Linked DNA regions of Xenopus tropicalis. The main gene of each other region encodes a partner of the protein of the gene in region 3 in a complex. Links are inferred from orthologs where the notes say so. Each region holds a gene or a part of one and is shown on either strand. Other genes may lie near its edges. The genes, in order: samhd1, gmnc, ccna2, rbl1, cdc6, rb1 and e2f1.

Evidence for each region.
Region 1: the proteins of ccna2 (region 3) and samhd1 are in contact, whole or in part, in a cryo-EM structure (PDB 9HIW), measured with the Homo sapiens proteins. The link is inferred for Xenopus tropicalis from reciprocal best matches to the Homo sapiens genes CCNA2 and SAMHD1. Residues at the interface, in NP_001228.2 of Homo sapiens: Met210, Ile213, Leu214, Trp217, Glu220, Val221, Glu224, Arg250, Leu253, Gln254, Tyr280, Ile281, Thr282, Asp283, Asp284, Thr285; in NP_056289.2 of Homo sapiens: Lys615, Ser616, Arg617, Val618, Gln619, Leu620, Phe621, Lys622.
Region 2: the proteins of ccna2 (region 3) and gmnc are in contact, whole or in part, in a cryo-EM structure (PDB 9HIU), measured with the Homo sapiens proteins. The link is inferred for Xenopus tropicalis from reciprocal best matches to the Homo sapiens genes CCNA2 and GMNC. Residues at the interface, in NP_001228.2 of Homo sapiens: Met210, Ile213, Leu214, Asp216, Trp217, Glu220, Val221, Glu224, Arg250, Leu253, Gln254, Tyr280, Ile281, Thr282, Asp283, Thr285; in NP_001140158.1 of Homo sapiens: Asn165, Ala166, Lys167, Arg168, Asn169, Leu170, Ser171, Glu173, Phe174, Ala175.
Region 4: the proteins of ccna2 (region 3) and rbl1 are in contact, whole or in part, in a crystal structure (PDB 1H28), measured with the Homo sapiens proteins. The link is inferred for Xenopus tropicalis from reciprocal best matches to the Homo sapiens genes CCNA2 and RBL1. Residues at the interface, in NP_001228.2 of Homo sapiens: Met210, Ile213, Leu214, Asp216, Trp217, Glu220, Glu224, Arg250, Gly251, Lys252, Leu253, Gln254, Tyr280, Ile281, Thr282, Asp283, Thr285, Tyr286; in NP_002886.2 of Homo sapiens: Gly654, Ser655, Ala656, Lys657, Arg658, Arg659, Leu660, Phe661, Gly662, Glu663.
Region 5: the proteins of ccna2 (region 3) and cdc6 are in contact, whole or in part, in a crystal structure (PDB 2CCH), measured with the Homo sapiens proteins. The link is inferred for Xenopus tropicalis from reciprocal best matches to the Homo sapiens genes CCNA2 and CDC6. Residues at the interface, in NP_001228.2 of Homo sapiens: Met210, Ile213, Leu214, Trp217, Glu220, Val221, Glu224, Tyr225, Arg250, Leu253, Gln254, Glu277, Tyr280, Ile281, Thr282, Asp283, Thr285; in NP_001245.1 of Homo sapiens: His89, Thr90, Leu91, Lys92, Gly93, Arg94, Arg95, Leu96, Val97, Phe98, Asp99, Asn100.
Region 6: the proteins of ccna2 (region 3) and rb1 are in contact, whole or in part, in a crystal structure (PDB 1H25), measured with the Homo sapiens proteins. The link is inferred for Xenopus tropicalis from reciprocal best matches to the Homo sapiens genes CCNA2 and RB1. Residues at the interface, in NP_001228.2 of Homo sapiens: Met210, Ile213, Leu214, Trp217, Glu220, Glu224, Arg250, Leu253, Gln254, Tyr280, Ile281, Thr282, Asp283, Thr285; in NP_000312.2 of Homo sapiens: Pro869, Lys870, Pro871, Leu872, Lys873, Lys874, Leu875, Phe877, Asp878.
Region 7: the proteins of ccna2 (region 3) and e2f1 are in contact, whole or in part, in a crystal structure (PDB 1H24), measured with the Homo sapiens proteins. The link is inferred for Xenopus tropicalis from reciprocal best matches to the Homo sapiens genes CCNA2 and E2F1. Residues at the interface, in NP_001228.2 of Homo sapiens: Met210, Ile213, Leu214, Trp217, Glu220, Val221, Glu224, Arg250, Gln254, Tyr280, Ile281, Thr282, Asp283, Thr285; in NP_005216.1 of Homo sapiens: Val88, Lys89, Arg90, Arg91, Leu92, Asp93, Leu94, Glu95.

The regions. Positions count from the first base shown.
Region 1 is NC_030686.2:42,477,380-42,481,696, reverse strand, and holds part of samhd1 (deoxynucleoside triphosphate triphosphohydrolase SAMHD1), read right to left. Parts: intron 3,738-4,317; coding exon 3,598-3,737; intron 2,707-3,597; coding exon 2,611-2,706; intron 1,586-2,610; coding exon 1,481-1,585; intron 776-1,480; coding exon 638-775; intron 1-637.
Region 2 is NC_030681.2:104,601,903-104,606,688, forward strand, and holds the start of gmnc (geminin coiled-coil domain-containing protein 1), read right to left. Parts: upstream 3,388-4,786; 5' UTR 2,907-3,387; coding exon 2,865-2,906; intron 2,040-2,864; coding exon 1,865-2,039; intron 1,564-1,864; coding exon 1,478-1,563; intron 1,216-1,477; coding exon 1,099-1,215; intron 1-1,098. UniProt on the Homo sapiens protein: Regulator of DNA replication. Promotes initiation of chromosomal DNA replication by mediating TOPBP1- and CDK2-dependent recruitment of CDC45L onto replication origins.
Region 3 is NC_030677.2:66,840,489-66,844,026, reverse strand, and holds the end of ccna2 (cyclin-A2), read right to left. Parts: coding exon 3,353-3,538; intron 2,119-3,352; coding exon 2,005-2,118; intron 1,368-2,004; coding exon 1,234-1,367; intron 1,118-1,233; coding exon 1,063-1,117; 3' UTR 744-1,062; downstream 1-743. UniProt on the Homo sapiens protein: Cyclin which controls both the G1/S and the G2/M transition phases of the cell cycle. Functions through the formation of specific serine/threonine protein kinase holoenzyme complexes with the cyclin-dependent protein kinases CDK1 or CDK2.
Region 4 is NC_030686.2:42,375,503-42,378,667, reverse strand, and holds the end of rbl1 (retinoblastoma-like protein 1), read right to left. Parts: intron 2,733-3,165; coding exon 2,568-2,732; intron 2,438-2,567; coding exon 2,270-2,437; 3' UTR 1,081-2,269; downstream 1-1,080. UniProt on the Homo sapiens protein: Key regulator of entry into cell division. Directly involved in heterochromatin formation by maintaining overall chromatin structure and, in particular, that of constitutive heterochromatin by stabilizing histone methylation.
Region 5 is NC_030686.2:8,864,652-8,868,944, reverse strand, and holds part of cdc6 (cell division control protein 6 homolog), read left to right. Parts: intron 1-861; 5' UTR 862-863; coding exon 864-1,041; intron 1,042-1,135; coding exon 1,136-1,399; intron 1,400-1,665; coding exon 1,666-1,865; intron 1,866-2,283; coding exon 2,284-2,453; intron 2,454-2,578; coding exon 2,579-2,685; intron 2,686-2,973; coding exon 2,974-3,113; intron 3,114-3,568; coding exon 3,569-3,669; intron 3,670-4,020; coding exon 4,021-4,085; intron 4,086-4,293. UniProt on the Homo sapiens protein: Involved in the initiation of DNA replication. Also participates in checkpoint controls that ensure DNA replication is completed before mitosis is initiated.
Region 6 is NC_030678.2:135,015,803-135,020,119, reverse strand, and holds part of rb1 (retinoblastoma-associated protein), read right to left. Parts: intron 2,559-4,317; coding exon 2,528-2,558; intron 1,619-2,527; coding exon 1,476-1,618; intron 1,352-1,475; coding exon 1,302-1,351; intron 1-1,301. UniProt on the Homo sapiens protein: Tumor suppressor that is a key regulator of the G1/S transition of the cell cycle. The hypophosphorylated form binds transcription regulators of the E2F family, preventing transcription of E2F-responsive genes.
Region 7 is NC_030686.2:41,690,095-41,694,919, reverse strand, and holds the start of e2f1 (transcription factor E2F1), read right to left. Parts: upstream 3,448-4,825; 5' UTR 1,974-3,447; coding exon 1,737-1,973; intron 1-1,736. UniProt on the Homo sapiens protein: Transcription activator that binds DNA cooperatively with DP proteins through the E2 recognition site, 5'-TTTC[CG]CGC-3' found in the promoter region of a number of genes whose products are involved in cell cycle regulation or in DNA replication.

The DNA.
Region 1 (4,317 bases), on a different chromosome or scaffold from region 3:
CCAGAGGGGCTGCTGTAAGATGCCATAGACAGTCACTATTTATTGGGCTGGAGGGGGCTGTTTGGGCCTCTGTGTACTTGGAATGCCAGGACCCAGGCCCAGACTGGCAATCTGTGGGTTCAGGCAAATGCCAGAGGGGCTGCTGTAAGATGCCATAGACAGTCACTATTTATTGGGCTGGAGGGGGCTGTTTGGGCCTCTGGGTACTTGGAATGCCAGGACCCAGGCCCAGACTGGCAATCTGTGGGTTCAGGCAAATGCCAGAGGGGCTGCTGTAAGATGCCATAGACAGTCACTATTTATTGGGCCTCTGTGTACTGCCGGGGCCTATTTTCTGTCCCAGGTACAAAACACGTTAGACTATTTATTATGCCCTAATACAACTTTAACTTTTTACAACTATGGCTCATTCTACTTATTAAGGGTCCCACATAGTTCCATGTAGAAAAAATAGTGATACCTTCCTGCATCTCTTCTTTGCACATGAGAGTACAACCCTGTGGCTATTATTTATTTGCGCCAACTGACAAGTATAACAGCAAAGCTGAAGCTACTGATGGAATCTATGTTTATAGGCTCTGCTTGCACAGTGAATGCTGGGAGAGAGTACGGTGGAAATAGTGAGGCACATTCAAACCTGTGGTTTAGAGAAATCCTTGTTCATGCACCACTGAACAAAATATCTTTTTGCCGCCTCCAAGCTTCTTTCGTCCGTTTTCTTGCAATAAACACGGATAATCTGCTCAGCAAATTTCTCCGGCAGGAGCTGGGAAACCTGATATAGAAATAAAAAGATAAGATTGGTAAGTTTGTACTTAAAGGGATACTGTCATGATTTTTATGGGGTACTTTTTATTTTTAAATGACACTGTTTACATAGCAAATAATTCCCTCTGCCATTTAACATTTTATTCTTGAACCAATAAATGTGTTTTTAGCTGTAATATTGGTGTGTAGGCGCCATCTCAGTGCATTGTGCCTGAGTCTGAGCTTTCAGAAGGACCCAGCGCTACACATTAGAACTGCTTTCAGCTAACCTATTGTTTCTCCTACTCCCATGTAACTGGAGGAGTCCCAAGCCAGACTTGGATTTCTTACTATTGAGTGCTATTCTGATACCTACTGGGAGCTGCTATCTTGCTCCCTTCCCACTGTTCTGCTGATCGGCTGCTGGGGGAGGGGGGGGGGATATCACTCCAACTTGCAGCACAGCAGTAAAGTATGACTGACGTTTATCAGAGCACAGGTCACATGGCTGTGGCACCCTGGGAAATGAAGAATATGGCTAGTCCCATGTGAAATTCCAAATTAAATATAAAAAAAAAAAAAAAAACGTTTGCGTTTTTGAAAAGATTCCAATGTTGATATTGAAATGAATCCATCTCAGTCCTGCCTCGTGGGGTTCACACAGAGGGAACAAGCTCCCAAGTATCCACATGGCTCAGTGCAGAGAAGATTCACCCACTGGAATTTCACTTACCTGATCTCTTCTAATCTTTATTGCTTTGCGAGGATCCGACTTGCAGTAGAAGCGCACGTTGTTTATTGGATTCTGTTCTTTCATTCCATAATCCATATGAATTACCTACAGAAAACATCACAATTAAAACTGCCACATGCTCTGAAATACAAGGGGCATCCCGCAAGGTACATATTTCAAGGAGAAGGAAAGGTAAAAACTAAGTAAGTTTTATCAGAGTCCTCTATCAAAAGAAACAAAAGATTTCTTGTCTCCTTTTTTGTAAACGTGTTCTTCGGTATCAGACTTCCTCTCTCAGAAAAAATCCTTAATTCCCAGGGCAGAGTCTGCTCAGCTCTCCCCTCTCCTGCTCCCCCCTCCCATCAGCTTGAAAAAGGAACTAGAATGTTCTGAAAGCTTGCTATGGTTATCTTAGTTAGCCAATAAAGGTATCACCTTTATACCACTTTTGTTATTTTTTATTTCAAAAGGGTTACCCTGTAAACATTTTTTGACTGGCTAACACAGTACATCACCTTTTCCTGCAATAAGAATTCATAAAACTCACTCCCCCTCCCATAAGAATGTGTAATCTGAGCTACCAACAGCTAGAGCTGCAGCAGGAAGCCAGAGGAGACCAAGCTAAAACGGCAGCTGCTATCTTAAACAAACAGAGGGGGCTTCTAGGGTTGTTTACTCAGGTATGGTAAAGCTTTCTGCAGAATAAATATAGCATTCTATGTGGCACTAATGTGGCAAATCTATTTGCAGTAAGATGCTAAAATGCCTTTCCTTCTCCTTTTAATGGTGCATATTATGGAATACAATTACTGTTTATTCACATAGCACTGACATATGATGCAGAGAGAACTTACAGTTAATGTACAGGAGACTGATGTCAGTAAGTATGTCCAATCGCACAGAACAAAAGAACTTGCAGAAAGCAGTAATGGAGATTTGCACCTAGAATAGGCACTCTTATTGGGTAAGAGACTGCACTTAGCGTCATTTTGGCATGCTGCACCCGATAAGGATAACCCTTTTAATGTTAATCCCCATTACAACAGCAGCTTCAAGCAATATCTAAGGCAAGCCTTTCCATCACCCAATCAATTTATTCCGCATACAGTCTAATGGGAAGGGCTACTTACATCTACTATAAAGTCCTCTGTGTTAAGTTCTACATCTGTTGTTGATGTTTGTGGAACTGATTTTGCCAGATCCGCTGGTAATGTATCATATTCATCCTGCAGGAGAAATGCACATACTGTATTTGTATAGTTAATGAAAAGAAAGGAAAGAAGCACTCACTTGTAGAAGGGGTAATTGTAAATGTTATAGTCAGTGCTGCATATAATGGACTCAAGGAAACAGTGACATACAACATAGTCCTCAACTACAGCTGCTCTCAGTTCTGCATTGGCGTAAAGGTTCCCATACACAGGCTGATAGTAGCTGCCGATATGGGTCCCTTAGACCGATTCGGCAGCTAATCGGCCCATGTATGTGCACTCCCAACAGCCTGCCCGACCGATATCTGGCCTGAAATCGGGCAGATCTCGATCGGGCAGGTTAGAAAATCTAGTCGGATCGGGGACCGCATCGGCTTGTTGATGCGGTCCCCGGACCGACTTTTCCTATACCCACCGTTATAATTCGATCGTTTGGACCCAGGGCCAAATGATCGAATTACCCTGGATTCTCCCGATATTGCCCACCCGTAGGTGGGGGATATTGGGAGAAGATCCGCTCGCTTGGTGACATCGCCAAACGAGCGGATCTTATGCTGTGTGGGGACCTTTAGGGACTTGTTGGGTTGGTCGTTATCACCATAATCAAGTGGTTTAACCAAATGCTTTTATTACCCCACAGCATTCTGCTTGATTTGACTGTATGTTTCCAATTTCAGGCACCTGAGAATAGCTAGAGGGCCCCAAGTGTGCAATGTAAAAAGGCCCCTCCTTTCACAAGAAACAGTGACGTTTACACAGTGCTGTCCCTTCTAGCTATAGGTTGTGGCAATACCGGTTCAACCCCATGACTGTAATGACTGAGCAAGCAGCACAGTTTACACTGCCTTAACCATACAAAGAAACCCAGTACTAGAGAGCGTGCATTTCCCAGCTGTTAATCCTTACCGGTTCAATTCTGGAGTTGATGCTAGGGTGCGTTTGTCCTACAAATTTGTACAGCTGTCGCCGTTCTACTTTGCGCAAAATTTCTCTGGCTTCCTTTAGATCAGGATTATCAGAATAAAGGATGTGATGGTATATGTTATCTGGAAGAAAAGTGCAGGAATATATCATTCATTTCTCACTCAGTTATAGGGAAATGAGAGTCACAGCGCTCTCCAGAGATTTTAACATTATTCAGCACAATGATCTCACTAAAATGCATTTTAAAAAGGGCATCAATCCACCCAGGCAGGATCAGGGATTCACCTTGAGGGATACAAAACAATTTTTGTGTTGGCCTGAATAATAAGTATTATACACAGGTATCGGACCCCTTATCCGGAAACCCATTATCCAGAAAGTTCCGAATTATGGAAAGGCCATCTCCCATAGACTCCATTTTAACCAAATAATTAACATTTTTAAAAGCGATTTCCTTTTTCTATGTAATAATAAAACAGTACCTGTATAAACAGACTGTTGGCCACATACCAACGGTAAAAGCAAAATTCCCACAGGACTCAAAGGACAAACAGGTATGAGCAGAAAGTTTAAAGTAATTATAATTGTTAAACTATGTATAAATCTTTAAAACTTTGTTACAAACGCGATGTAAACGAAAAAAACTGCATCACGAAAACTGCTGTAACAAAAACTTTGATCATCAAAAATAAAAAAAACAAT
Region 2 (4,786 bases), on a different chromosome or scaffold from region 3:
GATCTGCTTCCACTCCCATTGGTTCAATCCAAATATAATCATTCTGGGAACCTCCAACTACAACTGCCAGTGACATCCTAAGGCTGTGGGAGAATGCTGGGAGTTGTAGGTGAACAAGTTCTACTAAATGACTTTTTTCATGATGATGATTTTCATGGATTATTTGTGACCACTTTTGTTTAAAAATCTTAAAAGGTTGATTTTTCACCTTTTCCTGTTTTCCAAGAGTAGCCCTGAATGTTACTGAAGTCAGTTGATTAGTTGCTGGCATATCTCTGATGCTGCTGAGAAATGTTTGAACTAATGGAGCAAATTGTAAAAGTTCAGACAGTGGGCAGGCTGGTTTACTGATCAGCTACCGGGGTAACGGCATAGGGACGATAATAATACTTAAAACAGCAACAAATAATACATAGGAAGCAACTAAACAAAAGAATGATCCCTTCTTGACTGTCTGAACTGAAGAAAAAAATGTTTGAAAGGTGAACTGCCTCTTAAGTACAAAATCCCATCTGCTTCAAATGATGCCTCTTACAATAGAACCAGCACAAATCTTTTGCCTGCCCTTTCAGCCATTGATTTCTGCAGTAAGAACCTGTAGCAGGAATGGATTACAGTGTTTGGCATTCCAGCACTCTGACAATGAAACTTCTTTTGCTGGAGTGCTGACGAGTGTTTAGCGCTGCAGGGGATCTAGGCCAGGTACAGGTGCAATTTGCAAGCACACAATGCAGCAAACAATAGAGCCTATTGAATTGCTAAAGTGAGTGAGAGTCAGAGTGCTCACCCTGGGCTACTTTCCACTTTGCACCGCCCTGATTAAAGCACTTGCTCCTAAAAGGGAACAGTTTAGCAGCAATTAATTCAGCATACAGGGAAGCCTCTCCAGCACGTGTGATATATCTAGAAGCCCTTCTTATCTGGGCAGATCGCTATCATAGTGGGATAGATTAGTACTGCTAATTTACCTACTAGATAATTAATTGCTGTGTTTGCTGTAGATAAACCCATTGCAGATAATGTTCCCCTTTCACTCAATGAAAGATTAGTGCTTATACTATCTCAGATGGGGAAGCTGATCAGGCTTGTAGTACACACCTTGGTCTTTTCCTCTAAGGCTTTTACAAAGGCAGAGTTCAGGTATTCCTTCAGTTTGTTATTCTCTTCATGAAGTCTGGCCAGCTCCTCTTCCCTTTGCAGTAGGGTATCCTGGAGCTGTGGGGAAAGAAATGAACTTAGTGTGGCTGGAAATACGTTGGATAAACTTATGAACGTCCCACTGTGATCTCTGTATACCTCATCTGAGCCTTTAGTACTATACATAATTAGAATGCCCCCCCCCAAGATCATTACAGAGTCAGTGTTCAAAGTAATTGGGATTGAGAGTGAAGGATGCTGGCTGGGTTATGTTTTGGACACCCCTAGATTACCCCTCCTATGTACAGTTTTCTGGTTTTTAATATTTAAACATATTTACCTGCTTATTGGCGAATATCTGGGTAGATAGTTGGTCACCAAACAGATAATCTTCTTGGAGTGAGTTCCCCATGTTATAAATTTGCTCTATAAGGAGAGACAGGTCCAGGTTTAATGACTTAAGCAAACCCAAAGTAGAACAACATACAGTGAAAGAACAGTGTGGGCAAGGCTTAAATAAACAGTTCATTTACTCTAAATTAATCTGATATTTCATGTCAGTATATTAAATAAAGGTAAACACAATTATAAAAAAACAATGAAAGTACAGTATAAAAAAGTCTTAATGTGAAAAATTAACAGAGAGCAAAACTATTCCATCATCTGCCACCCCTTATCTAATTTTCTTATCTGGAATTAATTTTTACTTGGGGGAGAGGTGACTTACCTTGAGTGTGTGGGGCATGGCTGCTTGATCTGTTGTCCAGGAGACCAGAAGCCCAGAGAGAGACCCAAGTCTCCTTGGAAACATCAACAGTGGAGGCTGACGTTGAGGAAAAGTATGGGCAGTCATAACCCTGACCCCCTGCAAAGTACTGGTCTTGGCAAGTCAGAATGGTGTTCTGAAAAATCAACATAAACGGAGCACTTGTTAGATATGGTCACATAGATCCTTGTGTGTCTGAGCAAAAGCAAAGAGACTTCGGGGAGGTAGCGCTCCATTCTCTCTTGTTCGACTCCCACTATTCACTGAGCATTGTCCTGTTCAACATTGTGAATGGGAATCCAAATCAGCTGGCAATGGACTTGCACCCAACTACTGAGATTCCTCTAGATGCCAAGATTTCCAGCAGACACTCAGCATTCTGCCCCTCTCTTCTACACTGACCCATTCATTATTACAACTTGAAGGAGGCAGGAGCGCGCCAAGTGCAGGCAGAAGTACAAGCAGCAGCCACTGACCTATCTAGCTGCCAATGCCAAGTGCCAGAATTAAATCTCCTTTCAGCCTATGTGCAGGTATAACTCTCACACTATGCAGAGCTTGGAAATAGCAGCTTTGTAGCACAGGACAGGACCAGGAAAGACAACTGCAAGTCCCCACTTTCCAGGTGGTAGTGCAGACAGGTACATATGAACCAGCAGGTAACACAACCTAAAGGTTTTGGAAATTAGCAAAAGGGGCTTGCAGTCACCCAAAGTCCAGCAATGTGTCTTTAAAAACCAAAAGTTACATTTAGTTTCATTGCAGCTGCTGTGCAAGCCAATATTAAATCCTACAGGAGCCAAAGTACTTCATACAAGCAGTGGGGAAATACAGACTGTGTAGGGGATGTTTTAAATATACAAAATCCAACACCTCAGGGAATAAAGAAGCACACTTCTGGAAAGCAAAAGGCAGCCTAGAGCCATTCCTGAATACAGGGACGAGCACACGAGCCACTTACCATTTTGTTGCTTGAATGTGTTCCTGGCAGGCACCTTTTCATTGAAGCCTCTGTGAGCAGTATTTAAAGGGAAGTGAGGGAGGGCTGAGCCAGAGCAGCCCTAATCTATGGGAGCTGGGCCACTCCCCCAGGACTCTGGAAACCACGAATCTGATTTGGTGCCAAGCTGTCAAATAGGTGATGGTAGCAGCCTGCCCAAATCAAAGCTATTCATTCCCAATAAATTACCATACAGAATAAAGTCTGCTTTTATCTAGCTCTGCTCACCCAACCCCACATTTGTTTATTCTGTATTAAAACTAAAGTGTTCAATGGGGTGGGACAGGCTCTTATCTATGTCAATTATCACATGCAAAAAAAAATCTTGATCAACATAAACAGTTGAAAACTTATTATGGAGTCTGTAATACAGCAATTTTAAACTCCCTCTGCCCTCCCCACACCAAAAGCAGGGAATTGTAGCACAGGTGGGAGGCAGTGTGTGCAGCTAGAGTTTGAGTTTACCAGCAGTGTTAGGAATATTCTTACAATGTCACTGTTATAACACTATAATATACTGTTATAATACAGACATACACTGTTATAATACTGTATTACACTTTTATACTACTGAAATACACTGTTATAATACTGTAATACACTGTAATAATACTGCAATACCTGTTCCACATTCTCTATATGGATGCAATAAATAAAAGCCAAAAATTTGAGTGCAGGGGTAAGAGTTGGTCTGTGCGTGATTGGAGACTGGAAAGCATAGGTGCTAAACTGGGATAAGTTCAAATACAGCTGTGCATTTATAATAGTTTCAATCGTTAAATAAGAAAGTGTTTATTGTGGCTCCAGCAGCGCCTTATGGAAGTTCACTTGGGTGCCCAAGCAGTCTAAATGAATGGGTCCCCCCTTCAAGAACTTGTAATTGCACTTCATTCTCTTTTGAAGACAGCCCCACAATCAATCATGTAACTATAGAGGAGGTAAACCCCATAACAGCAGGGGGGCTTGGGGTACGAGGGGCCACAAGCAGGGCTGCCATCAGGGTGGTATATGGGGGGGGGTATTGCAGTCAGGGGCCATATTGCAGAGGGGGACCCCAGAGATGTAAAAGTGTGATGACAGGGATGTCAAATGTGCTGTAGCTGGGAAGGATCAGAGATGCAGTTGCATTTGTTTTGGCCTTTTATTTTTTTTAATTGGGGTCCCATTCTACTTGTCACCAGTTCCCTCTGCCTAGGAGACCAAAGGACCAAGTCCCATGTGTATTGGGTCAGACAATCAAGTTTATTTTAGAAAATACTTTAGATGAAAATACTTTCAAGCCCATGGAGTGGATTTAAAAAGTTGATGTATTCTACCTTTTTCTTAATATACACATATGGTGATTGATTGAAAAAAACATCACATTGCAATGCAATATCAGCACTTATGAATATGGTTAGGGAGCTGATTTGGATATTGAGTCATTTTTCTAATGAGCTTGTAAGGCAGGAGGTAAGAAGAGCAAAGTGAGGGGGCTCAGTGGGATATCAGTGGGGTATAAAGCCAGAGGATTGTGCGAGGCTCCAGTAGTCACTGTTTGCTAAACACAAGTACAACTATACATGAGCTGAATAAAGACAACTTTGCCGATCACTAGATATTGTTATTTAAATAAGCATTTGGGACCATGGGTTTAAATAAACTAAATTCTGTTTTAATTCTGCTTAATTGATATTTGCTTGACTTACCTATTTCACAATAATAAAGCTACCTGATTTTATATGAAAAAAAAAATCGATTGGTTTGTGCCACTTTAGTGTTATAGATTGGAGGAGATGGAAGATTTGTTTGAGTAATTGGGAGCCGTGTCCAGACAGGAATTTACAGCCTAATATAATAATAAGAAGCTTCTGCAAATACATTTCTCTGGGGTAATAATTTAG
Region 3 (3,538 bases):
AGGCAATATATGATTAACAGTTGGGATTTTTGTAAGTGCCTTTATAACGGGTATGGGATTTTTATAAATGCCTTATCTGGGTGACAGGTCCCCTTTATGGTGAGTCTCTGTGCACAGAAATAAAGTTAACAGGTAAACTCCCATACTTTGAGAAATAAGATTTGCTGCAACAAGAGTTCTATTGTAGGCAGAGAGGCAACCAAATCTGCAGATAAAAGCACAAGACCCCCCCCCCCCCCCCCCCAGCAGAGTATGGCACAGGCAGGGAAGAGCACACAGGCAGCATAGGGCAGGCAGAGTATGGCACACACAGGCAGGAGATGGGGAAACCTGGCCATGACCACTCCAACGTGGCCAGTTTGTACTACAGTACATCATATGCTGGCACTGCTCCTATAGTATTAGGTGCGCACAGGTGAGGTGGGAAAAAAAAACCCTCAACCTGACCCTAACCCGCCCAGTCCCAACCTTAACCCTGCTTCTCCCCTCCATTTATAGACATGCCCTGCAATGACATCACAAAAAAGGGACAGGGTGTCAGGCACACATCTATAAATTCACAAGCCAATAGTGTTAAGTCACAAGCGGAAGAGCTCATAACTAGTGCCTAGAGTCTGGGGTCTTACAGGTGAGAATACAGGGGGGGTTAGAGTCTGAAACTGAGGTGTGAACATTGCAGGGGGACAGTTCATTTGGAAGTTCATTGACTTTTTCCAGTGTTAACAAAATCAATCCACAGTTGATGCTGTTTAGTTAACATTTATTGTCAAACAATGATCAATAGGTAAAATATGCTAACTGCCTGGTTAATTCAATCTGCGCACAACAGCTTTTTAAAGAGCCAATATATCTAACAAGATTTAACATACATAAAAATTTACAAAATTTAAAACCTTATAAAATAAAGTAAAAATAAAAACAAGTGACTTTGCTTCATAATTCTGTCGCTCCAATCCTCACATTGAAGATTGCAATATAAAATCAAAGTCTATATCATAAAAAAAGTTAACTGTACATCATGTGCTTTTATCAATATACATCTTCAAAGTCCATCCCTTGAGTTTATAAAAATATAGACAACGATTCTGGAGGATCAATAAGAGATACACAGTGATTCCTGGAAGGAAAAAGAAACACATTTAAACTTGAGGCCTGCAAACCACCAAGTTTTACATTTATCTACAATTTAAGTTACAAACTTGGCAAAAAAAAAAAAAAAAACCAGTTACTTACTTCTGAGTTTTGTACTTCTCTCGCACAGCTTGCTGTTGGTGACTTGCAGCAGAGAGGTAGGTCTGGTATAGGTCCAAAATACAGGGTTTAAGTGTTTCAAGAGCGTACCCTGTGTACTGCACCAAAGAATCCGACTGCAAAGAAGTTTTAGATATTATATACAGTTTGATTGCACCTACATTAGCAACTTTAAGCCTAGCTAGTAAAGAAGCAAGCTTGATATTCCAGCAACACCTTGTAACACGGAAGGAAAACCTTATACATTGCAGGTCTCCATAAAATTTTGTTACATTAAACAGCTAATTTGTAAGGCCGTGCTTAATCTAGAAAAATTCTTGAAAATAGACTTTAGTATTAAGTACCACTGGATAATCCTAATTAGTTTCTAAGTACTAAGGGCTGCCCCCTGGCTCACAAACCAAGGGCCTACATACTGCTAGGCTGCAGCAGCCATTAGACAGGGATGTTTTTTTTACCCCCACGCTTCCTCCTATTACAGTTATAGCTGCAGTTCCGGTCAGGTGGTCTGAGGGAGCATCACAAAATGGTGGCTCAAGGTAGAAGTGCAATATTTACAGATGTATATTCCAGGTTGGTAAAATGCTTTAAAATTGCACTTATGGTATAAGTTATGTATTAATTCTAAAAAAAAGTTTCTTTAATGTTGTAGCAGTAAGTATTGTGGGGTATCAACTACCTCAGAATGAAAAGTTGTGATGGCACTGTGCTACATAGTATCTTACATGTTGGGGAAAAAAGTGCTTTACATACCCAAGTTCTCTCATTAACTGTGTAGTTGGCAATGACAAATGCTGCTGCAGCAACAACAGATGGCAGATACCGCAGGAAAGGATCAGCATCAACCAAGCTGAGCTCTCCCAAGAACTGTAAGACAAAGGGATATTTACTATAAACACATTACAGCCATGGCTGACTGAACAGTTTTTTTTTTTTTTTTAAATAAACTCAAGACAGAGCATCAGAACAGCCATCCAACTAAAAAGTAGTACTTAGCTGGCCATACAACAGCACTGGCTACTTAAAGGTGTTGTTCACCATTAAGTGAACTTCAAGTATAATGTAGAGATTAATATTCTGAGCAAATTTGCAATTTGTCTAATTTTTTTTTTTTAATTGAAAGGCAGCTCTCCAGTTTGGATTTTCAGTAGTTCTGGATGCTAGGGTCCAATTTACCTTAGTAACCAGGGAGCAGGTTGAGAGTGATTTAGGAATAGTAGAGGGGCTGAATAGCAAAAAAAAATAAAAATGTAGCCTTACAGAGCAAAAGCTATAAAAGCTTTTGACCAAAAACTGAAGACCAATTTTAAAGTTGCTTAGAAATGGCCATTCTGTGACATTATATATGTTAACTTAAAGGTGAACCATCCCTTTAAACAAGACTGAGACGCCAATATGCATCTAGAAAAGCAGGCCATACATACGCAGTCATTCACATAGTTACCCATAGGCTGCATGGTTACATTTTTCTCATATTAATGCTGAACCCACAGCAAACAGAAGTCATGTTTAAACCTGTGGCAGTAAATGTACTAGCTCACACCTTTTCTGTTAAACCCACCATGGTAAAATCAGCTTTTTCGAAAGGAAAATTATTGTAAATATAAGCTTGGCTGTTAAATGTCAAGGGATGTAAAAACTTCAGCTTGAAATGTAATGTGAACTACAACTGAATGGCTTGTTAAAATGGGCACTATGGTGAATGTGAACCTTCATGTCATGGAAAGGAATATTAATACTCAAGTTACTCTTACATCCCCCTAAGCAGTTTGTCTCTACATGGAGCTGTGTGCAATAAGCACATACTTTGACAGTTAGGTCAAATAAATTTGCATGCTCCTTTGATTAGACAACCAAACTGACCAGCTTCTGGTGGAAGAGAAGATTGCCAATTCCCAAAAATACAGAAAGTTTATTTACATGAGAAAGCCTATATAAAATTCTCATGTTAGCAATTGTTCCTTTAAAGGGACCTGAGCAAAATAATGTACAGTGCAGGACTGTCAACCAGAATCAAGTGAGGAGGTGGATAGGAAATGTTAAGCTGTCAGAAAGCCATTGTATGAAGTGAATAGTCACATCTGTATAGGTGCATACATACCATGCTTAGGCTTTCCACTTTTGGAGAGACTGGTTGTATTTGGAAGTACTGATTGAGGTACTGTAAGATTGTTGGAGCAGCAAGGTCAAACGACAGAACTTTCAGCACCAAGTGTTCCATCTTGAGAACCTGTTTCTTTGTGTATGTATCATCAGTAATGTAAACAAACTCTGCCACTTCAGGAGG
Region 4 (3,165 bases), on a different chromosome or scaffold from region 3:
ATATAAAGTTAGGGCCTGTCAATTTTTTTCTAGGAGAAAAGGCACAGGTTAAATAGCAGATAACTAGTAGATAAGCCCCATATAATGGGGGTTTATCTGTTATCTGCTAAGTAACCGGTGCCTTTTCTCCTTTGAATGGCTGCCCCCATGGCTACACAGCAGCTTACTTATATAAACTATAGTAGTCTTTCTGAGGCAAACACCAGTTGTAGCAATGCAGGGCAACAGTACATTATATTGTTATTACTTTTATACACTTTCATTTTTTGGTGTTACTGTTCCTTTAAGTCATTCAACGTTAATTGCCTTAGGGGGCATCTAAAGAGGCCAGGATTCTAGAACTGCATACATGTTCAATTTGAAAGTGAGTGTATAGTCATCCCAAGTTAACAGCAATACTTTAGCTAGGTATCAAGCCCTGTTTGATCTACATGAGCAATTGAGATGATTACTTTGCTTAAGCCCTCTGCTCTATTATTAAGTGCCCGCACCTGTTGCCAAAGTTGCGCCAGTTTGTCCGGTACTCGGTGGACCACGTCCTCCAAGTCGGATCACCAAAGCTAAGCACAGGTTGTGTGGTCTCTGCAGGTTTTGGAAGTTCTGGCACAGCAGGGAGAGGTCTGCCTTGATCATTTTGAGTTGCGTGGTGACCAAAGTGTGGATCCCGTTAATTGCAGCTAGCAGGCCAGCATTAGAAGGATCGGGAGTTGTGTTTGCGGGTGCGGGCTGTTCAGAAAATGATGGAAGGTGGGTCCGCATCTGCAGCCTTGTGTGCAGTCATTGTAAACTGCGGTAGAAATTCTCATTTTGCTGGATGCTGCTAATCACCATAGAGAGTGCACCCTCAGGCCAGGGATTCTTAAACTTTAGGTTGGGATCATAAAATGGGTCCCCAGGCTGTTTAACATTGGCTGTCCATGACCCCTGCACCCCATTATGGATACTGATTGGTTCATCAGCTGGGCAACAGAGTATGGCAAATAGGCAGATGAGGAATTGTAGTTACAGCTCCTCCACACTTTGTTATTCCAACTGTTTAGGCTTTCAGCCCCACCAAAAGAAGTCAGTACAAGTACCCAGTAATAGTAGGGACCTTTTTATTTTACATATTTACACATAGGCATATTACATATACATTTATATACTATAACCTTCAGCCTACACTATTGTGGTACACCTGCAGCTCCATTTCAGGCAGATGCTTCATTGGTCTGTTGCAAGGATCTGGGGCTGCATAGATTTCATTCCTCCTCTCTTATTTGGTGTACCATATATAATGTAAAAGTCAGAATTGTGAATAGGATGCTTCAAGAAGATTCATCTGAATGGAAGTGACATTGTAATGTACAATAAAACGTTATGTACAGAGATTTAAAAAGGTGCCAGCAAACCATAAAAAGGTGTAGATGCTACACAATTTCATTCAGCTCAAAAAAGCACAGCAAAGATTCACATCAAAGGGTTTCATTTTACGCTAGGAATAAAAAGATAAAATGGCTGCACGCAGATAGAGCAGGAAAAACCCAGCACAGAAAATGCACTGCCAAATATTTCTACTCCTTTTCCCTGGAGTCCGTAAAATGACTGTATAAACACAGCGCAACGCTGGAAAATCCAAGATTTTGTTGCCAGATCTTGATTGAACTCAATCTGTAAGTTCATACATTACAATAAAAAGAATCTCCATTAATGCTTTTGGAGCAAAAAGAACACTTAAAAAGGAACAATAAAAACTGTATGCTGCGCTGCTGAAAGCTAGTGTTCATAAAATTAAAAGTCTATAGTTAAAAAATGTACTCATGAAGCTTTGCTTTGTATCAGTAAAATGCTACTGCAGGTAATGAAATAGAATTCAGTCCACTAGGGGGCGCCTCCACCGGCAGTATTATTACAGCTCACAACATTCAACCCTGATGAACTCAGTAAGCCATATATGTTTCATATAAAGGCAAAACTGAGGAACGATAGACTTTCCTTTATCACAATAGGTTAAAAATATCATGTTAAGAAAAAAATAGATAAAACCATGGAAACGGCAGGGCAGTTGTCCCATCACGACTGACCACGTGGCTAAGGCTTTTGGCCAACTGCAGTGATTGAGATTGCAGACAGTAGCTAGCAAACAGTGTACAATATCATACGTGCAAGAAGAGTCTCCAACACCTAATGGAACTCGGGGGCCCAGTTGGAAGGGTACTGACCCGAGACTTGCCTAAAATGTAGCTTTTTAATGGGCCGGAACCACAGAATGCCAATGGCCAGACTGCAGCTAATGGTTGGCCCTCTCACTCACGACATCCTGCAGGCGTTTCAGCAGAGCATCATCATTTTCCTGGCAGAGCCGCTTTGCCGGGGACTCCGTGTCGCTGTCAATAGCAATGATCCGCTTCCGGCTCCTCTGCTCCTGTTTCAGCATGCTGTTTATGTCCTGCAAGCTCTTCAATAAACAGAATATAATAAGTACAGAGTCCCTTTAATGTCAACCAATGCCACCAATCAAGCTCCCCTTTATTCTACTGTATAACTATAATCGGGATATAAACGTCCCCAGCAAGGGCACAACTTACTTTTGAAGGACTTCCATTAAACTTGTACAGGAGGGCTGTGTGGGGAGTCAGGCTGCCGCTGTTCTTATGGGGAGACACATAGATAGAATGCTGCTGGGATACTCGGCGGGGAGAAATAGCTTGTTGCTTGATGCTGGGAAATGGCGAAAGAGGCGGAGCATCCATCTAAAAAGAAAAAAATCACATCAAATGTATGGCCCATGCTATAAAAAGGAAAAGGACACCTTCACAATAACTTAATATGTTAAAGATAGATCAGTTTAGGTAACTTCATTATGATGATGGATGGCTGGTTGCCAAGGTCACTGACCCTGGCAACCAAACAGCTCAAGACAATTTTATTATTGCTTTTTTTCTAGGTCCTCTATCTGGGTGAAGACACAGGGGGCGATTAGTAATCTGCGTAGTGAAAACTCACGGGTGTTTAGTCGCAGCGACTTCTATTATAACCTATGGCAGAAAAGTCACTGCGATTAGTCACCGCAACAGACTTTTTAAAAAGTTGCGGCAACTAATCGCCCCATGTTTTTTCGCCCTTATACATCTCCCATTTTTATTTCAAGACTGCTCCCTCCTCTCTAGAGTAACTAACCCATAG
Region 5 (4,293 bases), on a different chromosome or scaffold from region 3:
AACTATCCAAGGCTTGAAGGAGTTAACCCCGCCGATTTGTTTTTCTTCGCTCTGATTAAACTTGTTAACCTGCATCCTGCGTGCTTGTCTCGTTCATTAGGATAACTGCTCCCTGTTGATGATTTAATCTCAAGCTTCCCTGTAGCTTGTTAGCGTTGATGGGAAGGTTGTGCTCATTAGTGCAGTTTCTGGGGGGGAAGATGAAGACGTAGGGTGTTGTGCAGATATTGGCAATAAGGCGATAATAACAGTGATGTCCTGTCGGCTGCATTTTGTTTTATGCTTGAATGATACCGAGAGAAGCTGTTGTATGTAGCATCAGGGTACTAACAGAGTAACCAGTCAGATTGTTGTGCAGCCAAAAAGCCCTTTTATTCTAAATTACAGTATTCCCATGCTACTGCTGCTGCTGTGTAATCCTCATCATAAATCCTACAAAAGGGGGAGGGCTAATACTCGGAGGGGCAATATGCACTTAGACTACGCACAAGCTAAGTATATAGGTCTTGCACTGAAAATGTGTGTTAATTAAAAAAATCTATAATATTCATTAAAGTCAACATTTAATTCTGGTTTTACCTATACTCCCTAAAGGCTGTAGCAAAAGAATATTGCTTTATTGTGACCCTTTGGCAAATCCATTGAGAAAAGCTGTTTGGATAGTCAAGGTTTATGCATTTTATTTTTTTTCTATTTACACCAAGTTTCTGTGAAGGCTTTTTTGTGGCCCAGCTTGCAGTTTCAGCTTTGCCAGAGTTGCCATTGTTTTACTGACAGAACTTCAATGTTTAGTTTGTCTGCTGGTGTTCGCATTAACCCTATGGATTGTGAACTAAATCTTACTACTTATAATTCTTGTAGCAATGCCAAGCACCAGGTCTCAGTCTCAAAGCGCCATTCAGTTTCCCAAGAAAAAAAATGCTCGAACGCACACCAAAGAGGCCTCCCGTGAAAGGACCAAATTGGAAAACGGCTCCTCTGTCGCGCTGCCACTCTCTCCACTTCCCAAAGAGCTTCCCCTGAGTCCAAGGAAACGACTTGGTAAGGAAAAGGCAGCCTTGGGATTTTCCTATATTGATCTAAAATAGTCCCTTATCGATGACCGTGTTTAATCTATTTTTTTTCCTTTACCCAGGTGATGACAATCTTTGCAATGTTCCCCAGACATTAAGCTGCTCACCACCCAAGCAGTCTCGCAAAGAGAATGGCCCGCCAAGCACCCCTAAGGGACGCCGGTTACTTTTTGACGAGAACCAGTCGGCAACAACACCTGTATCTCCTCTCAAGAGGGTGCAGGATCCTTATTTGCTGTCCCCTTTGAGAAGGGGGCAAGAGACACCATCCAGCTCTCGCAACAACGAGAGGAAGAGTGTGGGTGCCCGGCTATTTAAACAGGAGGGTAAGTGGGCACTTGAATAAGTAATCTTTCACTTAATTAGCATTAACTTTGTCAACAGGTAAACTTTAATAGGTCTCCACTTTTTTTTATTCTGGTTTAAGATTCTATATTCTAAGAATAAATTGGGCCTCCTGAAATGTTATAACTATTTATTTATACATTTTTTTTATGTTGAATTTTAATAATCTCCAGGTCATCAACTACAAGCGTGTCATAAAAATGGTTCTGAAAACAGTATATTTGACAGTTTGCCTTTTCCTGCTTAGGTTCTTGCTATCAGAAGGCTAAGCATGCTTTGAATACAGCTATACCAGAGCGTCTATTGGCCCGTGACAGTGAGACTGCGACTATCAAGGCCTTCCTGACAAGTCATGTCTCTGGTGGGAAGCCAGGAAGCCTTTACATATCTGGTGCTCCAGGAACTGGCAAAACGGCTTGCTTGAATAAGCTGCTGCAGGAGAGCAAGGTTGGTTCCGCTTCAGTGTCATATCTTAATTTAAGTTATATATGCTGTTTACAGGAATGGGTCCATATCACTCTAAAAATCATACAGCCACTACTTAATCATTGTTTGCCTGCACCCAAGCCAGACATCACTGCTGTAGCCAAGACCCAATAGGCTAGGGGCACTGGATACATCAGTTCCCCAGTCTCTCACCAAGGCTAATGCTTCTGCAGCAACTATGGCTGAAGTGGAGTGACGGTTAAATAAAGGGGCAGCTGGCGGAGCTTGAAGCTTAGCCTATTAGTGTCCATAAGTGTTCTAACGTGATTAAATGTGTCAATATTACTTGGTTTGGGTAAAAAGAAAGCAGGATTTAAAATGATATAAACTGTTTTGTGACTTTCCATTATTCATAGTTAATCTCATTCTTTCTGCACAGGATGACCTCAAGCAATGCAAGACGGTTTACATCAACTGCATGTCATTGCGCAGCTCCCAGGCGGTGTTTCCGGCCATAGCTGAAGAAATCTCTGGTGGAAAATCTTCAATTGCTGCAAAAGATATTGTTAGGAGTTTGGAGAAGACGGTGACTTCAAAGGGCCCAATCATGTACGTACTGACAATATTTTGGTCTCTCTTAGCTTTTACTGTGGGTAACATGCATTCTCTTGAACTGTGTTCCTACAAGTTCTTATTTTGCTCATCAATATAACATTTGCTTCCTTTCTGGGCAGCCTGCTGGTGCTGGATGAGATGGATCAGCTCGATAGTCGAGGACAGGATGTCTTATACACAGTGTTTGAGTGGCCCTGGCTTCCAAATTCTAGGGTGGTTCTTATTGGTAAGCAACGGAATCTTTACAACATTTAATCAATCTAAATGTTATATATGACCTGAAGAATATCGAGCATTTAATTCTTTGCTCTGAAAATGTTTTACTTATAAGATGCGTAACTAAAGGAGCAGTAGTAGTGCCCAGACTAAATATATTTCCCACTGATGTATTACTGTAAAACAGACTGCTCTGTGCATATGATCTATGCCTTAATGATTCTTAGGAAGCTTAATGGTCCTCATTCCATCTTGACACATCTAATGTATAATTTTTTTTTTTTTCCCCCCCTCTCAGGCATTGCTAACGCGTTAGATTTGACAGACCGTATTCTGCCTAGGCTACAAGCTCGACCTCAGTGCAAGCCACAGCTGCTTAACTTCTCTCCGTATACAAAGGATCAGATTGCTACCATTCTGCAGGAGAGACTAAATCAGGTAATTAAACCTTGATGTACAAGTGTTCTTGTGTATGCTCAATATAAATTTACTGCATTTTTAAATTGATTAGCACAGCACCTGATATCTGCTATACTTAAGGCAGTTACCCTCTAAATTATGTTGATTACAGATGCAAAAATGCATGTGTACACAATACAAATAGATGTTTTCATCCCCATTTAGTTGCTCTCAATACAATTATCTCAAGCAATTATTTCATATTAAATTGCTGACAAAAATAGAAACTAACCATTAAAGCCTGTGCAAGTTTACCAAGTGAGGGTACCTTTGTGTTACCTGTATGCAAGATATGCGCATTGACTATTTCAGCCAGAGGTCAAAAGAGCTTTGAAAATGAATGCCAAGGGACTTGTGCTACAAGTGACATAAAAACTGTTGTATTGTCATGCTGTATCTTGATGTTCAAGGAGCTTATTTTGTTTCCGGTACAGGTTTCAGGTGACCAGGTTCTGGATAATGCTGCTATTCAGTTTTGTGCCAGGAAAATTTCAGCAGTCTCTGGAGATGCTCGAAAGGCACTAGACATCTGCAGGTACTTATTTATATTCGGATTAAGGTTGAAAGGAATTGCAGCAGCTGGGAAAAATTCATTTACTTGATATTTTCTTTTATATAATAACTAGATAGGTTAGCAGCTACAGTAAACCTGTGTGGGTTTGTTTATGCCAAAACACTATACTTTGCAGTACCATATATTAAGGAATACACAGTAGTGGCTGCATCTTCAGACTTAGGTCTGCTGGAAGCTGCATGCAGTGGGTGGTGCATCGCTTGTATAATCAGTTCCTAGCATGCTCTGGGGAAATGCTGTTGGAAAGCTGCTCTGTTTTGCTGTTTATGCATGTCTTTCCAGGCCATAATCCTTAAATTTTTTTGCTTGTAGGAGAGCTGTTGAAATTGTTGAAGCGGATGTAAGGGGCCAGACTGTCCTCAAGCCGCTAACTGAAAGTAAGTGAATGCTTGTCTCCACTTTGTTTCCCTTTGTGCTTCTTGTTTCCTCCATACCCCATAAAGGAGCTCATTCACATACTGGGAGGATGTTTTAGGTTGCCCCTACCTGTCACAGCTAAAAAAAAATAGACTATTTTACTGATAATTGTGTGTTTTAGCAGAGGCAATGCTCAGTATTGTATATGGCAGGGTATTTTCTGGCATT
Region 6 (4,317 bases), on a different chromosome or scaffold from region 3:
AATGAGCCCTCTGTAGCAATAACACTAAGTGCTGGTGGCATAAATACAGTGAAACTAGGTGAGCTCTCAGGGACCTGATATGGGTACTGAAAATGGACCCTTATGAACAGTGCAATGAGGATAGAACTGCTCTGTAACAAAGCACCTTTTTAAAATCCTTAGTGTTCCAGCACTTGCAGCAGGAGATTTTATGTATAGGCCTCAAAGACCCTTTTCATATGATTTTTGTTTCCAGAAGCTAGTCCCATTTATAGTGACTGTGCCACTGGAGGGGCAGCTGGTTCCCATTTAGAATGTTCCTGTGGACATGTGCTCCAGATATAGTGAGACCCTGAAAACACTATCGTTCTCACTACTGAGTCCCTGAAAGTGAAAGTTTCATGAGGGAAGATGAGCTTGTGAGAAAGAGTAATTAGAACAAAGTCCAGAAAATAAATATATAATAAGTATTTCTTTTTTTTGCCATATTACAGTAAGTGCCATGTGGAGATACACTATGGGATATATGGCTATAGTAACAAAGTGTACCATCTAAACCAAAACCCTTCCGGAATCAGTGAAGTTTAAAACGTACTCCCAGAAACTACGGGACTAAAATCCATAAACCTCTCTCATGACCTGCATTCAAACTAAAGATTCTGTCCACCACAAAGTCTACCACACTTTTTAGTGGACTAAAAAAAAACCATTAGTTGAGTTATACATGAATTCCATATGAGTTATAGAAACATCCAGAGAAACCTGCTCAGTCTAAATCCTGCTTGAGCTGTCTCCAGCACTCAGCATGTACGCCATATAATGCTAAAGTCCTACAACTGGACCCCTGAGCAGCCCATGGCCTTGTACAGTGCTGAGGAGTGTATGGCAATTCCTATAGTAGTGATATGTAACAAATGATACATCTTGAAAGCTCAGATCTTGGGCATCTATAATGAGAAAAAGTGTACTTCCACTTGCATTAAAAAGTAGGGCATCTGTAATATGGCAAACCATGTGTCAAGTCTAATATTATTTCAACGAATAAAATTAAAAAAAAAAAAAAAAAAAAAGGCCAAAGAGTTTTGTTGAAATATGTTTCTATGGAAAAGTATTCAGGGCTTTCTTTATAAAGGGTTTGCAGATAATAGATCCCATACCTGTATGACAAAAGGCAACATACTCTTGTGAGTGTGGTACTGTTTGCCGAATGCACACATCACTACATATATTTCCATCTATTTCCCAATTATGTGCCCAATACAGATAATTTTAGGGCCACCCCATGGTTGAACAAGCACACACGTGTCTCACAAAATACTTACTCATTTCTGCCAGCTTTTGGTGAAATTTGGATTCTTCAGATATATGTTTGCTAAAGAGAAAAATTTGAACTCATTAAAAATAAATTCACTGAAAACCGCAAAACAATTACAAATTGTAACTTTCGTAAAGAATGAGAATAACTTTGCCCAGACACTCCCTAGCTACCAACTAACCTTCCATCAGCTTCATCTTGTCCATCTGTATCAAAACGAAGCTTCTTCAGGGGCTTTGGAGCAGCACCAGTATCAGCGCATCTTTTTATTGGTCGCTCACAGCTGTTAAGCATTTGGTTAATTTTCTGAAACCTGTCAGGTGACTGAATGGGAGAAAACATTAGACATAATAACCACACAATGAAATCGTATAAAGTTACAGAGATCCTTAATTACAGGAGTGAAACCAAGAGGCAATATGGGCTCCTACACAACTCTGCAGTTTCTCACTTTATTCACATAGTGGGCCAATGTACCAAACGTTTAGAAGCCAAACCAACTGGGAAGTCTGGAGGCCCTCGAATCTGTTGGCTCAAGTTATACAGCTCTGTTCTACAGCATTTCATACTCTTCCTGGGTAGGACAAGAAACAAGATTTTGTTCCTGATCTGTCCCAGTTGTAACAGCGGGGGATCAAGGATTCTCTCCTGTTTCTTTTCACTGGAAATTGGGGGGAAAGTTGTCAGTTGTGTGCTTGTGTAGTGTCAGACTGGCCCACAGGGATACCAGGAAAACTCCCAGTAGGCCCAGGTGTCAGTGGGCCCTCCTGATTCTAACAATTGGGCCTAATTTATTGAAATTCCCTATTTCTTTATGGGAACAAAGAGACTAAATATTAAGAATAGATTATAGTATGTAAAGATAAAAAAAAACTATGAAAATATAGCGGTTGAGTGAGAAGTGACTGAAAAATAGTTTGGAGCGTGGGCCCATAATCTAGGATTTTCTGGTGGGCCCCTGGCATCCCAGTCCGACACTGTGCTTGTGGCACCCAAGTAATGACACCAGCACAAATGGCAAATTGTGCTGCACACAGAATGTTCTGCTCCTGACCATCTGCAATTGTGTAATTATACCATTATATAACTCACTATCCCTGCCAATGGTTAGAGAAAGCAGCAGAATCATTTTATTTGTTTCAGTACTGACAAAATTCTGACACTGGATGGACTGAACACCATACAATGCAACACAATCATTTAGATGTACTTATGTATAAAAAACATACATACCCTAAATGTTTCGCCAAGTGAAATAAGGAAACTGCAAAACACAAGTAATGGATGTAGGTAAATACAAAGTAAAAAAGAATCAATTAATTCTCAGCACAAAAATGTATAGGATAACGAAACAATTGCACTAGTTATCCAAAGATACATTACACCTTCATTAGTAGGGATATAATTTAGAACTGCTTCTGGACTGCCACCTTTTCCTATCTCTTCCACCTCTCTCTACATTAATATGCAGTTATGAAATCTAAAAATCTAAAACAAAACTATATATCCATATATATATATATATATATATATATATATATATATATATATATATATATATTTATATTTTTGTTTGTCTATATATATATTTATATATATGTGGTCTTGATAATGGTCTTAGGAGGAGACCGAAACGTTGGCCTGTTTTAACAGTATGTTTAAATAAAAGTAACGTTTTAACTTTAAAAAATATCCTGGTGTGCACCCAATTTTTGGACTTATATATATATATATATATATATATATCTATAAATAGGCAATGAAGGGAAAATATACTTGATTTACAATAAGTATTGCATTATTGTAGGCAGCATTAGATGAGGGTGTATCATTAGCAAATCCTATCTAGAAATATCTTCAGTTAGTCACAAGAGTGGGTGCTGCTTTACAACAATCACCATGGGTCTGCAAAAAGGTTCCCAAAATTAATTTGCTGTATCGTGCACAAGACAAGTGTATGTGGTCAATGAAGGCAGAATTGAAACTCTGAGGTCTAAATGCAATTTAATGTGTATCTAGTATCCATCCAGCAGTGTTAGTAAAAAACAAAACAAGCTTCACCAAAATAAACAAAAATCAAGTTAACATGAAGAAAAAGGAACATTCTCTTTTTGTTGTAAAACAAAAAATGGCTAAAACTGTCATCATACTAGAAATTAATTCAGGCGAAAGCCACATGTGCTTGAGCAATCAATATGTATAATATATAAAGTCACAGACAGTGGCACTGTACATTAAATGGTAGTATACAATGAACATACAAGGTTACATACAAAAACCAGAGCTGTGGAGTCGGAAGCAATTTTTGGGTACTGGAGTCAGCAAATATATACCAGGTTCAACACCTAATAAATTTACATTGTAATGAAAAAAAAATACGTTGTCCTATTTCACAGAGAATAGTCATAATTAAGTACTTCTCTGTTGTAAGAATAAAGCCCAGTGTGTAGTTGTTTCACTAGTGTTAAGTCCATCTCAGCTATTATAACCTTATTGTTTTCATTTTTGTCTTTTGTTTAAACTTTAGGTTTAAGGACTGTTTTTAGTTTCTTTAATAAACAAAATAAAAAGCCATGATATAGGCTTGGTTAAAGATTTAGATCCAAACTTGAACAGTATCCCTATTCGTGTTGGCAGTGCCAGGCTTGTATGGCCAATAGCTTTAAAATAGCTTTGGCAGTGATGAAATGCCATGTATGTTGTGCAGGGGTCTCAAACTCGCGGCCCGCGGGCCATTTGCGGCCCTCGGTACAATATTTTGTGGCCCGCACCAACGCCTTCTCAAAAGCAATGAATAGATCGCGATTTTTATTGCGATCCAAGGGATAATGCAAGGCATGGCGGGCGGGCGCTGCTGATTGCAGAAATGACGTTATGCCATCATAACAGTTATTATGGGAAGACGTTCTGTGTGCACAATTAGCTGCTAAGGAGCTAACTGTGCACACAGAACATCTTCCCATAATTGAAAGCCAATTTTTTGTGAAATCCCTTATGCAGCCCAGCCTCATCCTGACTTTGCC
Region 7 (4,825 bases), on a different chromosome or scaffold from region 3:
GAGCTTCATATTGCAAAACAAAACCACCTGTTAATAGGGCAGTGCCAGTAAATTAAAACCAATTATTCTCACTACTGCCCTGTGAGGTTAATTATATTGTTATGATTAGAGGTAAACCCATTATCCCAACTAAGATATAATTACCCCTTATTGGGGGCAGAACAGCCCTATTGGGTTTATTTAATGGTTAAACGATTCCCTTTTCTCTGTAATAATAAAACAGTACCTGTACTTGATCCCAACTAAGATATAATTACACCTTATTGGGGCAGAACAGCCCTATTGGGTTTATTTAATGGTTAAATGATTCCCTTTTCTCTGTAATAATAAAACAGTACCTGTACTTGATCCCAACTAAGATATAATTACCCCTTATTGGGGCAGAACAGCCCTATTGAGTTTATTTAATGGTATAATAATGGTATATGGTATATAATTACCCCTTATTGGGGGCAGAACAATTCTATTGGAAAAGACCACTTATCCGGAAAACCCCAGGTCCCGAGCATTCTGGATAATGGGCCCCATACCTGTACTCATCTTTCCATGCATATGTCAGTCACTCATTCAAAGCACTGCCTGGTTGCTAGGGCGGTTAACCCTAACAACCAGGTGTGGCTGCTGAAATGCCAAACTGAAGTTATTTTACAAAAAGCTTAATAAATATCTGCATTAAACTTAAGATGAAGAACCCCTTCCATAATAACCACTGACACCATGTTTTTATTAACATACACAATACCTATACTCAATATATTTAAAATAATGCATAAACTAAAACAAATGCACAATTACTATAGGTAGGTGCATATAAAGCATTTCTTTTTTACTTGCTCAGCAAATAAATGAATAAATGCTGCTGAACTGTTACGAAGTCCTACACTTGGCAGAAATGTGTAGCTGTTTCCCTGAGCAATTACATATTTTTTTCTTTCAGGCCTAAAGCAACTTTTACCCCAGCCAAGACCGATTTCAGTGCATACTTGCAAACCTCATTTGCTACATAACATACATATTTTTTGTGCTTATTGGTGAGGTTACCCAATGCTACAGCAGTGCTGCAGATGACACCCTTACATATTTCTGCAGCTGAGAGATAAAGAGCACTCAGGAACAGTGACTGGTCATTTAAACAGTTACAGCTACAACTTGACTGCCACCGAGGCAGATCAAAAGGGCAAGAAACCTTAACCAGCCTATACTTTACAATGCCCTAAATGTTTACCTCCATAATACTAAAGTACGTGCTCTAGAGAACAATAACCATATAAAAATAAAATTATTTTCATGCAGGATTATTCCCCGCATTCCCTATATATTATATATATATTTTGTCCCTGAGGAAGAGCACAGATTGTGCTCGAAATGTTGGAATTTTTTCAATAAAACCACTTTTTCTTTTGTATCAAGTCCCTATGTGTGCGGCACTCTTTCTATTATATTTTTGTTTTTTTGACCTGCACCAGGGGCATTTGGACTTGTATAGGGTGTGCTCCTCCCTGTATACTTATATATATATATATATACACACACACACACACAAGTCCAATAGCAGCAGGCACTCACGTTATATATAGTCTTATTCTGCCTTGGTGCAGTCATTCAAAAAAAATAACTAATGCTTCAATAAATTTCCTTTATTTTTTCACACTAAGTCCTATATATATATATATATATATATATATATATATATATATATATATATATATATATAAATAAATGATAAATAAAATTACCGGTGGGCGTCCAAGATCAGGCCTCTGTGCAGTGTATGACGTGGAAGGACCCTGAGGGGTGGTAAAAAGCATTAACTCTGCCTCACTGAGACCAGGGTTTCCAGCAGCTTCAGCAGGGACATCTGGGGTGGATATAATAACAATCTGCTGTTCAGCCACCTGGAAGGTTCCAGCTTCCCAGAGAGCCCCAAAATCTCCTTCACTGCAGCTATAAGACACCCCAAACTCCTGGGACATGATCAGATGGTGGTGTTCATCTTTGCTTCAAGAGTTCCCATAACAGAAGAAAACAGCTGATAATACAACAGAGGCCTAAGTGTTCCAATGGAGCTTTAAGCCAACAGCAACCCCTGGGCTGGACCATGGGACAACAAAAAGGGGGGTGCAGGTGAAAACAGCCTTTGAGCAAACATCATGGAACATCCAGATTCAGCCCCAAAATAAATGCCATTTCCAAGTATCCATAACAACTCAGTAATATAAAAGGGGGGAAATGGTTTTGCAAAGTGCTAAAATCTTTAAAACCAGCTAACTTTCTGCTTGCTCATTCACACAGGCTGCACCTGTCAACAAAAGGATCACAATGTCGGGCGCCTCTGATAAGCAAAAGTCTTGTCTTTTGAGATCTTCTTGTCGAAATACGTAAGCTCCGACGGCGACTTAGAATGCAGCCCCGAAGGCCAAAATTCAGTGTATAAAAGGGAGAGACTTCTAGCAAAATTCACTGTGTTAAAGGGCAACTACAACGTCTTAGAACAAAAAACTCAATTACAAAAACTCTATAAAGCAAAGGCTCAGAACAAAACACACTACTAATAACAAAACAATGCACTGAATTAAAGGGGAACTAAAACAACAAAATGCACTGAATTAAAGGGGAACTAAAACAACAAAATGCACTGAATTAAAGGGAAACTACAAGTTCTTAGCACAAAAAACACTTAATTACAAAAACTCTATAAAGCAAAGGCTCAGAACAAAATACACTACTAATTACAAAACAATGCAAGCCCTCAAAACAATATGCACTGAATTAAAGGGGAACTAAAGCAACTGAAATAACAAAATGCACTGAATTAAAGGGGAACTAAAACGACTGAATCAACAAAATGCACTACATTTAATAGGCATTTATATAACCCCATGAACTGCCCTGTAATAACTCAAGAATAGCTTCACCCAAACCCTCAAAAAATGTATCTAAGTGCAGAAAAAAAGCCTAAACTGGCTAAAAACAGAGCAGAAAACATTAAATACAAAGTCTAATAGAAATAGGGTGGTAAAGTGCTTGACCCAGTCCAAAGCAGAATAGAAAAAAAAACACCAAGGCAGGGACAGGGTTAAAATAAGAAGTCTATAGGAAAAGCTGCTAAAACCCCAAAGCACATATTTATATTAGTGCAAAGATTCATGTATTGGGAGGGGGGTGCGGGAATAATGTCAGTGTGTTGTCCTCTCCTATAAAAGGCTTATTCCTGAGGCACGACGAACTCCAATAAAAGAAATTGTTATTGGTTCCTGTAGGCATTCACGGTCCCGGTACCACCACCGCCGGCGGTCGGTTCCTCCCAGACTTGCTATTGTTTTCGCCTCCCAGCTGATCCCCCGGTCTCCCTCAGCTCGCCCATTTGCGCGCCAATTCCTTTTTTGCCGCGAAACCATACACAACGTCAGCGGCGGCGCGCCATTGGCCACAGCGGAAACGCCCGGCGCGCCTTATTGGCTGGCCGGTGTTTGGAAGGCGCTGGCGGGAAAGAATAGAGGTGACAGAGCGGCGGCGCGACCAATCAGAGTGGACAAAAAAAGAAACAACGCAGGTGATTGGTTAGTGTACGCAAGGGGGTAGGCAGGCCTGATAGTGTAACAGGAAAAAATAGGCTCATTTCCTAGAGAGCTTTGAAAGAGAGAGAGAGAGAGGGGAGGCTGAATGGGAAGAGTTGTTTGTTAGTGAGTGAGCGGAGGTCAGAAAATCTAAATAGCACATTCCTTACAAAGGCGGCTTGGCTTTATGCCAGGTGGGAAACGCGTCTAAGTGATAAATGAAGGTTTCCATAAAACCTCTTTTATATCTTATTCCGTGACGTAGACATCGTTAAATAGAAATAGGAAGTCTACCTCTACCCTTTCATGTTTGTTTTAGTTGTGCAGGGAAATGCTGGTACTAAGGGAAAAGAACTCAACTGTTCTGCCATGTGTCAAATATCACCCCTACCGCCCCAAACACTCAATAAAATTGCTCTGGGTCAGCGGGACGGTTTAAACCATAAATTGGGCCAGGGTACTTTATAGTACATCAGCGCCCGACTGCCATTTCTGAGACAGAGGCCACAACGTTGTCTTATCTGCTGTTTCCTTATACCTCCCAACATATATGAAAATAAAGCAGGAAACAACCTCTGAGACGGGCACTGCAGTGAATTTTTTTTTTTGCCACGTCCATTTTGTGGTTTATACATGTAGGAATGGATACATCAGGAGTGAGGAAGCACTAGCTGCACCACCGTTTTATGACAGATGTTATAACAGACACACTTCGGCGCCCACATTTCATGCCACAGTCTGGCCCCCAAGCATTTTATGACAGACATGGTGGTCTTCCAAACATTTCATGACAGACCCTTTGGTCCCCAAAGCATTTCATGACAGACACCGTGGACCCCAAAGCATTTCATGCGAGACACAGTGGTTCCCAAAGCATTTCATGACAGACATCATGGTCCCCCAAGCATTTTATAACAGACGCTTTGGTCCCCAAAGCATTTCATGACAGACACCGTGGTCCCCAAAGCATTTCATGCGAGATACAGTGGTTCCCAAAGCATTTCATGCGAGACACAGTGGTTCCCAAAGCATTTCATGACAGACATCGTGGTCCCCCAAGCATTTTATAACAGACGCTTTGGTCCCCAAAGCATTTCATGACAGACACCGTGGCCCCCCCAAGCATTTCATGACAGACACCGTGGTCCCCCAAGCATTTTATAACAGACACCGTGGTCCAACAAGCATTTCATCACAGACGCCATGGTCCCCAAAGCATTATATCACAGACGCCCAAACATTTAATCACAGACACCGTGGTCTCCAAA